2 linked regions of the Notamacropus eugenii genome follow. The protein of the gene in region 1 binds, or shares a complex with, the protein of each later gene. Links are inferred from orthologs where the notes say so. Each region holds a gene or a part of one and is shown on either strand. Other genes may lie near its edges.

What was found.
Region 2: the proteins of AMHR2 (region 1) and AMH are in contact, whole or in part, in a crystal structure (PDB 7L0J), measured with the Homo sapiens proteins. The link is inferred for Notamacropus eugenii from reciprocal best matches to the Homo sapiens genes AMHR2 and AMH. Residues at the interface, in NP_065434.1 of Homo sapiens: Gly31, Val32, Arg33, Gly34, Ser35, Thr36, Thr38, Leu39, Phe62, Ile64, Glu75, Met76, Arg80, Asp81, Ser82, Glu84, Pro85, Ser95, Arg97, Ala98, Pro100, Ser101, Leu106, Thr108; in NP_000470.3 of Homo sapiens: Leu471, Arg472, Glu474, Val477, Leu478, Ile479, Pro480, Glu481, Thr482, Tyr483, Gln484, Lys534, Leu535, Ile537, Leu539, Glu542, Arg543, Ile544, Ser545, Ala546.

Annotation. Positions count from the first base shown.
Region 1 is NC_092874.1:226,406,286-226,414,312, reverse strand, and holds the start of AMHR2 (anti-Muellerian hormone type-2 receptor), read right to left. Parts: upstream 3,547-8,027; 5' UTR 3,440-3,546; coding exon 3,391-3,439; intron 3,104-3,390; coding exon 2,921-3,103; intron 2,690-2,920; coding exon 2,498-2,689; intron 2,138-2,497; coding exon 2,066-2,137; intron 1,665-2,065; coding exon 1,552-1,664; intron 1,344-1,551; coding exon 1,113-1,343; intron 178-1,112; coding exon 63-177; intron 1-62. UniProt on the Homo sapiens protein: On ligand binding, forms a receptor complex consisting of two type II and two type I transmembrane serine/threonine kinases.
Region 2 is NC_092875.1:64,058,151-64,066,104, forward strand, and holds the start of AMH (muellerian-inhibiting factor), read right to left. Parts: upstream 3,452-7,954; 5' UTR 3,163-3,451; coding exon 2,577-3,162; intron 612-2,576; exon of another isoform or gene 1-611. UniProt on the Homo sapiens protein: Plays an important role in several reproductive functions. Induces Muellerian duct regression during male fetal sexual differentiation. Also plays a role in Leydig cell differentiation and function.

The sequences.
Region 1 (8,027 bases):
ATTTCTCATTCCTCCTTTCCATACCCAGGAGGAGACAGGATCCCAGCTTCCCCTGGGCTCACCATCCTTCCAGGATTCCTCATGAAGGAAGGCCAGACCCCTAGTCAGAGAGAGAGCGAGGTTTATAGAGTGACGCCAGTCACAGGTATGGTGGGCCAGGTAGTGGCGGAGAGAGCCCTAGAGGAAAGAGAAAAACACATGAGCCTTGGGAAACATCATTACAGTGATCCCTTCCACATTGCAGGGGTCAGGAGTGCAGCACCCCCCTCCTCGGTAAAAGTTTTTTGGCCCTCCTTTCGTACCAGAGAAGTCTGAGTTTTTTCTTTTTTCTTTTGTGGGGTGTTGCTATTATACAATATTATGCATACATTTTATGCATTTCTGAGTTTCTAAACTTTTTTTGCATGTTGTCTGCTGCCCTTCGTGTATCATCTGTGGCTTCTGCAAAACCCCAAAATTCCCATTTAATTTCTTATGCCAGTTCACTATATATAGAAACCGTGATGAAGTTAGATACATTGGAAGAAGACAGATAGCTTCAAATGAAATTCAATTATTTAGTGCCTACTAAGTGTTTGAGGCAGGTAGTTGGCTTAGTGGGGAGTGTGCTAGGCCAGGAGTCAGGAAGACCTGAATTCAAATCTGGCCTCAGACACTTCCTAGCTGTGACTCTGGGTAAATCACTTAATCTCTGTTTGCCTTAATCTGCTGGAGAAGGAAATAGCAAAACACGCCTCTATCTTTGTAAAATAAAAAAAAAAAATAAACAAAAACTCTTGGACAATATTGGCGTGCTTTGGTCCATGGGCTCATGAAGAGCTGCACATGAAGGACTGAATGACAATATCAAAGTGTATGGGACTGTAGAAAAAGAGGTAGAAAATCAGACAGGAAGGCAATGAGTAACAAGTCATCAGCTAGCTAACTATCCATAAGGAGAAAGCAAGGTAGATATAGGGATAGACAGGTATGGAGGGAATTAAGGGGAGACACCAAGACTGGTGGAAAGGGACAATGGGGGATGGAGGGAAAGTCACAGGACAAGAGAAATGGGAGCAGAGAGCCCCAGACGGCCTTCCATTATCACAATTCCTCCATCACTAGACTCTTACCTTGGGGTACAACTGAAGAACCAGCACGGGTCCAGGAGGCTGGGGGCCGGGGCCGCCTCTGCCAGCGGCAATAAATCGTACTATGTTGTCATGCTGCAGGCCAGATAACTCGTAGAGTGCCCTTTCTGCCTGGAATTGGGGTGCCGCCCAAGGGGGGAAGGCTTTGATGGCCACCGGCTCCCTTTGGAGGTGTCCTGCCCATACCACTGTATGGCCTCCCTCTTGTAGGATCTGAACAAAAGGGGACAATATGCTAAGGGGGTTGGATTCACCACCTTTTCTTTGGGCTTCTAGCCTATTCATTGCTTCTTGCCCTCATCCCTCATCAACCTATCTATCACAGCAAAGGAACGATCTAGGGCCCAATCCTTGGAATTGAGGCATTAGGATTTTTGTCTTCCACCCTCCACTTCCCCACCATGACATGGGGAACAGAGACCTGAGAGAAGCATAACTCCTCCAGCTCTGGCAACTCCTGGCTCCAACTGCTGCCTGGTTCCGGGTCTAGTTCCTGGCCCCCCGAGGCCCTAAGAGCCTTCCACTGTCGAAGGGCTGGAGATACAGGTGGTGGTGGGGGTGCCATAGGGTAGGGAGGCAAGGGGCCAGCATGCACAGAACCAGGGGCTTGGGAGGTACAAGGTTCTTGAGAGGTAATGGGAAGGGATTGGAGGAAATGGAGGTCATGGGCCAAGACCACGGGCAGGAAGTAAAAAGGCCTTGAGGATTACTGAGGACAGAGGGATGATAGGGACTACTATCTAGCGGAGGCTGGGGGCAGAGAAAGGTCAGAGGACATGGCTCCATGCTACAGAGGACATGGTCATGGCAGAGGGGCAAAGGGCCCAGAGAGTACCTGGGAGGTGTTTGTGTGTATGTGGGTGATACAAAAAAGCATCAGAAGGATGCCCAAAGGGCATTGGGGGGGAGAGGGGTGACAGGGGTCAAGTCTGTACCCAAGATGCTGCTGCCCAGCATAAGAAGGAGAAACAGCCCCAGCAGAGACACCACCACCAGAAAGGACTCCCCTGGACAGAAAAAGAATAAATTTAGGACTGGAGGAAGGGAATACTCTAGAATATTCCCAGCCTCCCCTTCCCTTGGGGAAGAAAGACATAGATCCTGGGAACCCATGCTCTGGGTTCTTTATCCCCTTCCCATTGCTTCCATAGAATTTTTCCTGTTATCTTCTTGTCACCAGGGTAAAAAACATCCCAAGGTCAGGAGGAGGGAGTAGGAGGCTTGGACTGGGAGGAATATGGACAGAGGGAAAACTGGGCATGGCCCTCCTCCCAGTTACAATCCAATCCCCACTCTCCCCCGCCTTGTACACACAACCCCAGCCTAGCTTTCCAGCCTAGACACTTGGGCTCCAGAGTAGGGATTACCAGGTGGAGATTGGGGACCCTGAGAGTTGGGGGTCCTTGAGATCTCTGGAGGTGGCAGGTGACTGTAATTAGCATTGCAGAGATCAGTGCCACAAGAGCAGGTGAAGAGGGTGGAGCCAGGGCTTGGGTGGGCACGGCGGGCTGGCTCACACCGGGGGGATTCACAACCCAGCTCATCACTGTCTCGGCAACCTGTTTGGGATGGGAAGGAGAAGGGGACAGAAGGCGATAAAGCCCACTTTTAGGGGACCTTTCTCCTGCTTTTTTCTTGGAAGTGTCCCTTCAATCTCTGAAATGGCCTTTCTTCCCTTATAGATGTGCTATCATTCCTCTCAGAGAAGCTAGCTTCGCCCTCCCCATGTCTCATTTCTGTAACAGCCCTCTCCTCCCCTTACATCCCTGCCAACTTACTTGGCCACTCACCCTGCATCTCCAGCTGAGCCCCATCCTGAGTCAGATTCCATATTCCAAAGCAACAGTGGCTGTAGAGGCAGCGGATACTCCTGGGGGGCCCTGGTCCTGCATCTAGTAGCTCCCCCAGGGCCCTTGTGCTGCCTTGTACCCCAGGACCCTCAAAGAAAAGACAAGTCCGGTGACCTGGTGGGGCTGAGAACAAGATAAAGGCAGGGAAGAAGGAAGGTGGGATTATACCCCAGACAGACAAACATCTAGTCAAAGAGAAAACTCATATCACATCTCAGGATCAAGGTGGAAAAGCCAGGAAGTCAGCAGCTGTCTAAAATAAGACCCCCTCCCCCTTTGCCTTCACTCAACTCTCTCTAAGAGTCAACGAGTCAATTATCTCAAATGTCTCCCCACCCAGTCTGTCTCAGGGGTAACCTGCTTTGAAAGCCAGAAAGCCAGTTGAACAACCCATTCCTGTAGATACTTACCCTGCACAGCTGCAGGGAGAAGCATCCAAAACCCTAAGGTGCCCAACATGACTGAGGAGGGGGTCTGAAGGAGAAGGTTTCGGAGAGGTTGAGCTAATGTTGGCGTTTTCCCTTTGACCGCCTGGCACCGTGGGGCTCTCAGATCCCACCGTCCCCAACTCCTCCTCCCTGCCCGCCCCCACCCTCCTTCCCCAGCCTGTGTGGGGGAGACTGCAGCTGTGGGAGCGGTGGGGATGGGGGGGAGGAAGGAGAGGAAGGGAGGAGAACGACCAATCTGAGATTCTCCAGCCTCTTCATGCACTCCTTCCTTGTCTGGTCAGAAGGAGTGGGGGGCTTTGATGTTTAACTGAAAACTCAGAGATACCTCTTTTTTATAACTTTTTCTCCTTTTTGTGGCACAAAGAAAAGGTGTGGGACTGCCTGAAGGGAGAGAGCCAAGGCGCAGTCTTCAGTTGCTAGAAATCCCAAGTATTCCCTCCAAAGATCCCTCAACTGGCTGCATGCCTCCTCCTCCCAACCAGGCCTCAGTTTTCCCCATGATTCACCAAAATATCCAGGAGATCATGGCCTCAATACACCCATTAGAATGAGGACCCAGTTTGGCCTTTTAGAGGTTTCAGACTCAGTTGAGGAGACAGTTATCCAGGGGCTATGTTGTAATTTAGTCTAGTACCACAAGAGGTCAGCGCACCCATGGGGGGAAGGAGGGGTGGTGCCATCTAGGTGTAAACCCTAAGTCAATGAAATCAGTCAATCAACAGGTATTTACTAATTGTCTATTAACTGATAAATATTCACTGGGCACCTACACTCCTGTATTAGTTAGGCACTGTAAAAGACAGAAAAAAACCTCTCCCCTTAATTCTGCTCTCACTATCCCCTTTCTCCCTGATTCATTACATTTAAATTTCTAGGAAAAAAAGTTGTTTGTGCTCAAAACCTGCACTTCCCTGCTACCTGCTGTATTCACAGTCCTTTGCATTCTGGCTTAGAGAAGCTGGACTGTATCCCAAATGCAGTGACTGGGATGGCGAGAAGACAGAAGAATATGTAATGATTAAATAAAGGGATGCATGATCAGTGCCTGGGACACAGTAGACACTTAATCAATGCTTGTTGACTTCTTAGACTTTAGCAGGAAAATCAGAAGATTTGTCAGGGGGGTGAGAGGATATAGTCATCATAATAGTTAGGATTTATATTTTTTATAGTATATATTTTTATACTATATATGATATATATTATATATAATATATATTATATAATATATATTTACATAGTATATTTATACTGTGTACCAGATGCTGCCCTAAGCTCTTTACAAATATTATCTCAGCTGATATCACTGCAACCCTGGGAGGTAGGGGATAATGATAATAATAATAGTATTATATATGTAACTATATATAATATATAATGTCTTCATTTTACCATAAAGGAAACTGAGGCAATAGAGGTTAAGTGACTTACCCAAAGTCTCACAGCTAGTAAGAATCTGAGATCAGATTTGAACTCAAGTTTCCTTGCTTCAGACACAGTGCTCTGTCCACTATGCTGCTTAAATGCCACTATTATGATTATCGTTATGATTAGGAACACAGCAGCACTGAAAAATTCCTATCAATAACAGCTATTCCAAAGAAGAACTGCCTCTCATGAGATAGCCAATTCCCCATCATGGGAGTCTTTCAAGCAGAGGTTGGCTGAACATGGCCTAGGAAGACCTTAGTTCAAAAAGGCCATGGTCTCCTGGAGCATCCAGAGCGATCTCCACTTGTCCTAATGAATAGCTGGGCCACTGGACCCAGATGACTGTGGAGGAGAAAGTGAGGCTGGTGACTTTGCACAGCCCTCCCTCACTTAAATCCAATTCACTTGCATGTCATGGCATCACCTTTCCTGATGTCACGGTCCTCTTCGAGAAGAAAGGACAAACATCAGATGAGCAAGGCAGTGTTGGACAGTTAAGGGTTAGGCCAGTCAGCCTCTGTTCTTCCATCTCTAAGATTTCTCCATTCCCCATCACTCTATAGAACCTGTTCTTTCAAAAGTCAACACAGATTCTCTTTTCATCACCATAGGAGCATTTGTTGTAGATCTGAAAGGTACTAACCATCTAACCAAGGTGACCCTCAGGACCCTGTCCTGGGCCCCCTTCCCTTGTCCCTCTATATTGATAATCTCTTCAACTCCCATGAATTTAATTATCATTTCTATTTTTGTTGCTTGTTCTTCTATCTCAAAGAGGACCATGAAATCAGGAAGGTAATGTCTTGACTTGCAAGTGAATTGGGTTAAAGTGAGGGAGGGCTGTGCAAAGCTACCAGCCTCACTTTCTCCTCCAGAGACATCTGGGTCCAGTGGCAAGATATAGATGAGGATGACTGGAGATGATCCTGGATGCACTAGGAGACCTTGGTCTTTCTAAACTAAGGTTTTTCCCAGGTCTCCGTTTGACTGAGGCAATACCCACTCAATGATTAAGTCCAGGTAAGAAATGAGGCAAAGAATGACTTCTTTAACCTGGTCAAAAAAAAAAAAATCAATCTGGGAGGACAAGATCCTCAGAGTTTCTGGTTGAAACAGAAACAATTGCTATTTATAGTAATTATAAACAAATAATTCAAAATAACTCATTTATAATATTTCTACATTATTATCAAACCTACCTATCCTGCCCTAACCTGTCTACAAACCTCAAGTCTCCCATCTCCAACTACTTTTCAGACATCTCAAATTAGATGTCCAGTAGACATCTTGAAATACGTCCAAAATATAACTCATATCCCCTAAATCCTCCCCCACCCTTTCAATCATTTTCAGTCCTGTATGACCCCATTGTGAATTTTCTTGGCCAAGTATCTGGAGTGGTTTGCCATTTCCTTTTCCAGCTTATTTTACAGATGAGGAAACTGAGGCAAACAGGGTAAAGTGACTTATCCAGTGTCACACAATAGTAAGTAAATGCTTATTGATTTGTCCAACTTTCTTCATTTTACAGATAAAGAAACCGAGGCCCAGACAGGTCAAGGATGCTTTTAGAGTCGCACTGGTGTTGAGGTTGAAACCCCGGTATGCCAAAAACTGTTGAGGTGTCATGATGTGTTGTGGTGGAACTGTCTCAAGAATTCAGTCAGACCACCTCCAATCCAAGTATAGGCATTTATTGAGATTGATGCCTCTCATGAAGCAGGCTAAGTTCCAAGAGGAACCAGCAACTTCAGAGAAAACAAGATGGATTCTTATAGGGTAAAGATACCATTACATAACAGAAATTTACATAGAATATAGGAATCTGATTAATATTTAAAAGGCAGGAGGACCTTGTTAAAGGATTAGGTAATGGAGGAGGGGTCCCATCTATGGTTTGGTGGTTAAACATTCTGGCCATGCTGCCTTCCAATTAGCCAGCTATTGTGGTCCTGTCTGGTCAAGAGAGATAATTAGGTATTGTGGTCCTGTCTTAGGCTAGATGGATGATGTGATTGTGACTGACCACAAGAACACCCCTGTTTCTGTGGGAATGGGTCTGGGGGTCATGGCTGGGTAGAGGCAGTGGCTAGGTTCCTATGCCTGCTGTTTCTGTGAGGACTATGAGTTTCAGGGACACGCCTGAGCAGTGAGGCATATGTATGAAGTCAGGACATTGGTGAGGGCAGGGGCTAGGTAGGTACAGCAGGCCTGTAATGAATTTAGACTACTGGGGCTGGGGGCAGCTCTACTAGGACTCCATTATTCCCCCCTCCAAGAGCTGGGACCCAAATTCATTTGGGAAAAAAGAAGGTCTCTGCTTCAGGAGTTTCTTCAGGCTGAAAAGCAGTTGTAGAGCTGACCCTGCTTGGATGGCTCTCTGGAGAACATTAACTGGAACTGAGAATGGTCACATCCAGGGGATGATGGGTGAGTATAAACTGTCATCCACTGTTTGCTGCGGACTGTAAGTGAATTGGCCTGTAGTCTGAGAGATACAAATCTTTTTTTTTTTTTTTAAATTTTAACATTTATTTTCACAAAATTTTGGGTTACAAATTTTCTCCCCTTTTATCCCCTCCCCCCCAAACCCAAGCATTCTAATTGCCCCTGTGACCAATCTGCTCTCTCCTCTATCCTTCCTCCCTGCCCTTGTCTCCGTCTTCTCTTTTGTCCTGTAGGGCCAGATAGCTTTCTTGACCCCTTAACCTGTATTTCTTATTTCCCAGTGGTAAGAACATTACATTTGATCCTAACACTTTGAGTTCCAGCTTCTTTAGCTCCCTCCCTCCCCACCCCTTCCCTTTGGAAGGCAAGCAATTCAATATAGGCCAAATCTGTGTAGTTTTGCAAATGATTACCATACTAGTTGTGTTGTACAGGACTAATTATATTTCCCTCCATCCTATCCTGACCCCCATTACTTCTATTCTCTTATGATCCTTTCCCTCCCCGTGAGTGTCGACCTCGGATTACATTCTCCTCCCCATGCCCTCCCCTCCATCCTCCCCCCCACCCTGCTTGTGCCCCTGTCCCCCACTCTCCTGTATTATGAGATAGGTTTTCCTATCAAAATGAGTGTGCATTTTATTCTTTCCTTTAGTGGAATGTGATGAGAGTAGACCTCATGTTTTTCTCTTGCCTCCCCTCTTTATCCCTCTACTAAT
Region 2 (7,954 bases), on another chromosome or scaffold:
ACGCTGCCTCAGGAAAGATGCACATGGTTGTTTCTCCAAGGAGGGTCCCGTCCCTTTGAGCTCTCGGCTGCCTCTAGCTTTCCCCTGGGTTGGACGCTCAGAGCCCAGTCTCCCGGCCAACCCTACCAGTGGTCAGAGAGGCCAGGAATGTGTCCCAGCACATAGAACTGATGACATTGGCTGGAGGGTGGGGGGAAGAAAGGTCTCTTCCCTTCTCCTCCCTCCCCAGTGCATGCCCTAGAGCAGACCTCGGGGATCACTAGACAGAAGATGAAGGGTCTCCTGGCCTTTGAAGACCAGGCAGCCCCATCCCTCACCTCACTTCCCACCTCCCAGCTCCAGAGAGGCTCAGGGGGTAAAGTCTTGGACTTGGGTTTGTCTCATATTTACTAGTGACCTTGGACAAATCAGTAGACCTGAGTTTTAAAGTCTGTATTTAAACCATGGGGATAAAAATTTTGTCCCGCAGATTGGGGGGAAGGGGTGGATGGGGTGCATGTTGTCTTGGTGTAGGGGGTGGGGAGAGATGGGGACAATATTTGGAGTTCAAAATCTTGTGGAAGTGAATGTTGTAAAGTGAAAATAAATTATATATTTAATTTTTTAAAAAATTCTGTCCTGTCACAGATCTGTTGCCCCTAAAACAACAAACAAATCCCAAACCACAATTGTAAGGACCAGATAAAAGACCCAGCCTTCAATTACCTGCTTTGTGGATTTACCCAAAGCCCCCTCTCTACCATTCATCCAGGCCACCCACGTGGTACTGGGGAAGGGGTTAGGGCTGGGCACAAATGCTAACGCCCAGTCCAGGGGGTTAAAAAAACACCACATTCTGCTGTACTGAGCATGGTCTTGTGGACAGCAAGCATGCCTCAGAACCAGGAAGACCCAGGTTTAAGTCCCACCCAGTGACTGTGACACCCTGAGCAAGTCACTCACAGACAAGTTGCAGAGATGGTGCCAATGTGTTTTGGCAAAGGATGAGAATATCACCTGTCAATGAAATTGCAGGTGTCATTCCCTTCTCCATTTTGTATTTATTATCTGGGTCTTTTCTAAGAGCACAGGTCTCTTTCCTCTGGGGGCTTCAGCTTCCTCGAGAAAGGAGTGAACTAAGGGGCCTCTGAGCTCCTTTCCAGTTCTGGAAAGGCTAGAACTGAGAGCAGAGAAGACACAAAAGTTCCCTGGGACCTCACCATTCAGAATGGTGACTTTGTATAGGGCTGGGAGAGCCTGCTCCCAGTTTCAGAATGTGGAGCCTGACTTGAACCTCATAACTCAGCTAGTGTTTCCACGATCTTAGACAAACCAGTCTCCTTCCTCTGCTAAACTAGCCCAGGGTTACTGTCCAGAGCCCAGGCTGTATGGGGGCTTGCCTCCCCTTGCAGCATCCTTAAAATTGGCCTGCTTACTCAGGCAGCATGGTAAAGCCTATGAACCCCTCCTGAGAATGTTTTCTTTATATTAAATTTCATTTAGAGGTGAGCAAAAATAAAGATGTCATTTTCCCCCCTCCATCTAAGTTCACAGTTCACTGAAATCTATCCACAGACTTCAGGTTAAGAATCTAGCCCTTGCACTTAAAAAAAATTCCCAATGGTCTTTTAAGGCAAAATGTCTTCCATCCCCAGAGAAAGAACTTTGGGATTCAATTGCAGTTTGTAGCAGATCATTTTCTTTTGTATTACATTTTGGTTTGTTATATAATTTTTCCCACTCACTTCAATTCTACTACACAACATGACTATAGTGAAAATGTATTTAATAGGAATGTATGTATAGAACCTATATAAAATTGTATGCTGTCTTGGGGAGGGAGGAGAAAAATAATCTAAGTTATATGGTAGTGATTGTAAAACACTGAAAAGAAATAAAATATAAAAACAAAACCAAAAAGAATCTAGCCCTTGCCCTCAAAGACAATATCTGGGGTTTACTGAGGAAGAGAGATCAGCCCTAGACCAGCCCTGGACAAAGTCTAGCTGGTCAACTCCCTGGGCAGGCTGCCCTGGCATGCTACATGTTGGGCTTGGAGCCCAGAACTTAACTCTAGCTATCCTCCCTGCCCCACCCACCCAAGGCCTGTTAAATCCATTCTAAAGCCCGGAGTCTTAGAAACTTGGAGATCCCTTGGCTCTCGTAGACAATGAACAAAGTCAACCATGAATCGCTAGTTCATAGGATGTGGGGCTAGTCTCATCCCCTACTGTTTTTGTTTTTTTTTAAATACAAAGGATGAAGATGAAACAGGCCCAGAAAGGGGCAGCAGACATACTAGAACCAGAATCAAACCCGAGTCCTCTGATTCCAAATCCCAAGCATTCTCTAGACCAGAGAACCAAGAGAACACCACTGCCACTAGCTAGAAGAACCCTCTAAGCTGTAAGAGACTGCTATTCCTCTTTCTGGGATCCAAGTATCCTGGATCACCCCCTTCACTAGGACCTAAGAATACAAAATGCTTTTTAGAAGGAGCCTCCGAGGCTGGTTGCAGACTAGGGATCACTCCCCACCACGCCTAAAATGTCCTCCAGCCTTGCCCCTAAGGACATGCTTGCACATGGCACACCTACCTTCTTCTAGATGTAGAACCACGAGACTCTGCCCGCCTGGCTCCACCAGTCGTTCCCCCAAATGCTGCAGAGAGAGGTGAGCAACTCCTGTGCCCCCTGGGGGGCAGATCCCAAAGGTGGCCAGGTCCTGCTTGTCCCAGCGGGCCTGTCTCAGTGCTTCCACAAAGCCCCTCTCATAACCACGCAGAGCCCCCACCACCTGGAGGGGATCTGAGGCCCCATCCCCACCCCTGCCTACTTTCACCCAGCACACTGGGTTTTTTAGGCCTCCCAGGGGCCAAGGATGGGACTTGGGCCCAGTCCATAGATCTGAAGTGCCACTGTCCGAGGCAAATGAGGGCCAAGGGAGGTGGACTTCACTCCCAGGGGTCTTTTGGCTCCTTAAGGATGAAGATCCATCTGAATCAGGAAGCCCCGGCAGCTTGTCTGACCTCTCCCTCCTCTGGTCCTGGGCCGCCAGGCTCTTGGACAGAGTTGGTAGTAGTTTGGTGTTGGCATCTGATTGCTCCTTCATGGGGGTCTCTCCCCTCAGCACAGCAAACATCACTGACAGGAGCAGGAGCAAACCCACAAGTGAGCCCTTCATCTTGGGCTGACTGTGACCGAGCCTTTGGCTAACTGGGGCTTTTATGAGACTAAGGTGGCAGAAATGCCTTCTCCAGACTGTTTATGAGGGAGGGAAGGATGATTATCTCTTCCCAACGGAGGTGACCTTGAATTGACAATGCAGAGCACATCCTTTGGGACCCTGGAGACCAACAGTGTAAAAGTGAGGGGAGGCCCTTTCAAAGGGTTCTTTCTGTTCTATTTTTGGCTGGGTATCTTGCTTCTTACAAGTGATATGAATTTCAAGCTGTTGACCAGATTTGTCAAAATACTGTCCTTGACTGATTTTTTAAGAAATGTGAGTGAGAATCTGAGCTGGGAGTGTACAGTTTAGAAAGACTGGGGGACAGACAGTGTGGGGAGGAGGCAGCTGCACCCATGGCAGAGGGACTGGAGGAAGGAAAGGTGTGTAGGGGGCAAATCCTGGTGACCTGGTCTCTGTGGAACTCCACTGGGGACTAGGAAGCTAGAGCCTTATCCCTGGGCTGTGTGCATTGGTCAGTTCTCACCAAAGGCCAACTATGGGTGTACAAGGGACACAAAATAGCTAGAAGCCTTGCTTTGGACAAGCTGGGCAATCGGCTTTTTTCAACCTCTCCTAGGGACAGTTAATGGAGAAACAAGAGAGCTGGAAGAGGCCTTAAAGACAAACCAACAGCTTTGTGGCAGGGAGAGAAGTACTGGCTCTTGGGTCAGAGACAGGGGTGTCCAGTCGCCTCAGACGCTCACAACCGAGATGACCAAGGGTGAGTCACTCACTCTCCCTGGGCCTGTGTCCTCATCCATAAAAAGTGGGCTACTTCAAGCTCTAGATTTGTGAACCCGGTCAGCCATTGTACATTAATTGGGTATGCTCTATGGTAGGCACCATGCAAGGCCCTAGGGGTACCCAAGAATAAGTTGCCTCACTGTAATGAGAGTGCCCCATACCAGGTGCACATAGTACAAATGGGAGGAGGAAAGAATGGGTCATAGAAAGGCCTTCTGTAGAAGGCAGGATCAAAGCCGGGGATTCTGGTCCAACCTCTCATTTCATGGGGCCTGAAGCCACGCAGGGAGTGGGCATCCAAGATGGGATTTGAACCTGCTCCCTCTAATAACCAAACCACTGCATCCTTTTAGATTGCTTTGGGAAACCAGAAATCCCAAGAGCCCACGCTGCTTTTGTGAGTCACTGACTATCCATCGATCAAGGTAGGGCTGCTCGGAGCTGCGGTCTTAGTTCACAAAGGTGCCGCCATCATGATGAGTGACACAGGGCTAAGCAGTGCCTAGGGGTAAAGTGGGTAATAAGGATGGTGGTGACAATGGCGTAGACATTGAATGCAACCAAATGCTAACATTTACGACACAAGATGTACTTCTGTTGTTCAGTTGTTTCAGTTGTATCTGACTCTTCATGGCCCCATTTAGGGTTCTTTTGGCAGATACTGGAGCCATTTGCCATCTTCTCCAGCTCATTTTGCAGATGAGGAAACTGAGGCAAAGACTGACTTGGCCAGGGTCACACAGCTGAATTTGAACTCAGGAAGTCTTTCTGACTTCAGGCCTGGAGTTCTATGCACTATGGCGCCACCTAGCTGCCCCTAGGATATATACATTTTATAACTTTTTTAAAAAGCAAGAACAATGGTGGTATGTTGTAGAGTGTAGGTGATGAAGGCAGCTAAGTGCTAAAACATGACACAAGTCATATACTGGAGAACTTAACAAATGCTAGTGCTGAAAAGAATCTTCAAGGTCACCTCATAACTTACAGAGAAAAAGGGGGCATAGAAGGGCCAATGAATGACATGGGTGGTAAGGAAAATGAACTCAGAAACCCTGACGTACAGAAACAAATTCAATATTCTGAAATGTGGTGGGATAGGACTAAATTATAGTATCTTTTGCTGAAAAGACACAAAGCAGATTTAAAAGGGGACTGGATGGGGCTGGAGTAACATCACTAATCAAAAGGGTATGTTAGGGGCAGTTAGGTGGCACAGTAGATAGAGCACCAAACTTAAGAGCGAGTTCAAATCCAGCTTTAGACATCTACCAGCTTTGTGACCCTGGGCAAGTCACTTAACCCCAACTGCAGAAAGAAAGGGGAAGGAGAGGAAAAAGTAAAGAAAAATAGATGTTTCTGTGAATAAATCTAGGAGCCCAAGATAGGAAACATGGTGGAGAACCATGGATTAACGAGGATTAACGAGAGGGGGGAAAAGGAACAATATGGTGATGATATATACTACAGACCAACTGGATCAACTGGGATAGGGGTGAGGGAAGAAATTAAATTGGAAAGAAGATACAAAAGTGCACAATATACAGAAGCAAATGAGCACAGTAACCTTGTTTTCGATAAACCCAAAGATCTCAGCTACTGGGGCATGAACTCATTATTCAACAAAAAATATGAGGAAAACTGGAAAGTAGTATGGAGGAACTACATATAGACTAACATCTCATACTGTATACTAAGGTAAACTCAAAATGATCCAGACATAAAAGGCGGAGGATGGAAAACATGACCAGTCAGATCTATGGATAGAGGAAGAGTTCATGGCCAAACAAGATAGGGGGAAAGTAGATAAATTTACAAGAACCATTCTCCAACTGATAAACTGTCAAAGGTTATGAATGGGTGGTTTTTCAAAGGAATAGATCAAAATTATCAATGGCTACATAAAAAATATTCTATTTCTCACAGAGAAATGGAGATTAAAAGAACTCTAAGATATCTCTTCACACTCATCGGATTGACTAAGATGATAAAAAAGGAAGATGACAAATGCTGCGAGGGATGCAGGAAAACAGGTGCACTAATGCACTTGCGCTGTGAGCTAGTCAGGCATTTGGAACTATGCCAGAAAAGGTTATTAAACTGAACACACTCTGACCCAGCAATTCCTCTACTAGGTCTGTGCCCCAAAGAGATAAAAGAAAATGGGAAAGGATGCACGTGTACAAGAGCATTTGTAACAGCTTTTTATGTTATCAACAACTAGAAACTGAGGGGATGCTCAACAACTGGGGATGGTTGAGTGAGCTGTGGTATATGAATGCAATCAAATACTATTGTGCTGGTAAAAAATGAAAAAGATAGTTTAAAAAAAACTTGTATGAAATGATGCAAAATGAAGTGAGCAGAGAAACAACTCCTTAGAAACAAAGGTGTAATAAACTTTGAAGACTCTTAAGATTCCGATTATTCCAATGACCAGCAATTCCCAAGGCCTCCTAATGGAATATGCTATCAGCCAGCAGACTGAGCTGATGGACTCGAGCACAGACAAGTGCATTTTCTTCTTCGGGGACATACAGTTAATTCAGGAATTTATCTTGCATGTCTATACATATTTATAATGGTTTTTTTTTCTCTTGTCTTCTCAATATGTGGGGGACTGAGGAGGAAGAAGACAGTCAGAACTGAAAATAAAATTTAATAAAAGAAAATGGATACGAATGAGGAAGGGAAGCACTGTATTATAATGACTGCAGATTTCAACTACCTGGATCTCTGTGGAGTTCTCTTCAGATGCAGAGCAGTGTGTGACACAATTGGGACCATTTCATCCTTCAGAAGGTGGCAGGCACAATTCTGGGAGATAACTGCTGTTCTGCACCTTATTCTAACAAGGCAGGGTTTGTTTCTAAAATAGAAATGACAAGAACTCTGAGGGCCAATGACCACTTGGTCACTGAACTTGTGAAAAGGGGCGAGAGGGTGCAACCTCTAAGTGCACGTCACTCTGACAGGCATTTTAGGTGGTACATCAAATTTCAAAGAGTTGAGGGAAAGGACAGGTAGGATCTGATGGTACGATTGATTGCAAGGGGGAATCAGCTCAAGAATGGAAGCTCTCAAGCATGAGATTCTTGACTACAATAAATGGTTCCAGTAAGGATGAATAATTGTTAACATTAATATAGCCCTTCCTCTGTATGAGGCATTATGCTAAGTACTTTAAAGGACTATTTAATCCTTAAAACACCGGGATGAGGTACTATTTTTCCCATTTTATAGATGAGGAAACTGAGGCAAACAAGTTAAGTGACCTGCCTTGCATCACAAAACTACTAAGTTGTCTGAAGTAAAATCTGAACTCAGGTCTTCCTCACTCTAGGCCCAGTGCTCTAGCCACTGCACACAACAACCAACCCCATAAACAAAACAAAAAGATGCTTGAAGTTACTGATAGGGACATGTGGGGAACTCAATTTGCCACCAAAACTGCCTACACATAGAATATTAAAAAAGGCAGATACGACAGCTGAGTCACTGTCAGTGATTATAAGATCCTGGGGAACAAAAAGTACTATGGCAAGACATCTTAATTTTCAAAGGGTAAAATCAGCAAACCTAATTTTTACTCCTGCTAATGTTCTGGAGCATATTAAGATGGTTTCTCAGGGAAGCACTGATTACTAAGAACCAACATGGCTTCAGAAATGGGTCATGTCCCCACTGCATGGGTTTGTTCTGCCTAACTATGCCTCTTGGTGAGCGGGTTTGGGAAGGAGGGACTAGTGAGGGTGATATAAAAAAGAAAAGAGGAAATAAAAGAGGGCCATTGCAACATTTTAAAAATGTGCAGAGAACAGGAAAAGGTCAGATAAGCAGAACAACTTTGGAACTGTTGAGTTTATTACATAACTTTGAAAAGAAATGAAACCTTATGGAAGGGAGATTTATAGCTTGATAGGCATTCTTCTTTTTCTGTGCCTGTATGTAGGTGGAAACAGTCGTGTGATGAATTTGGGCAAATGAAGACAAATAATTTTTT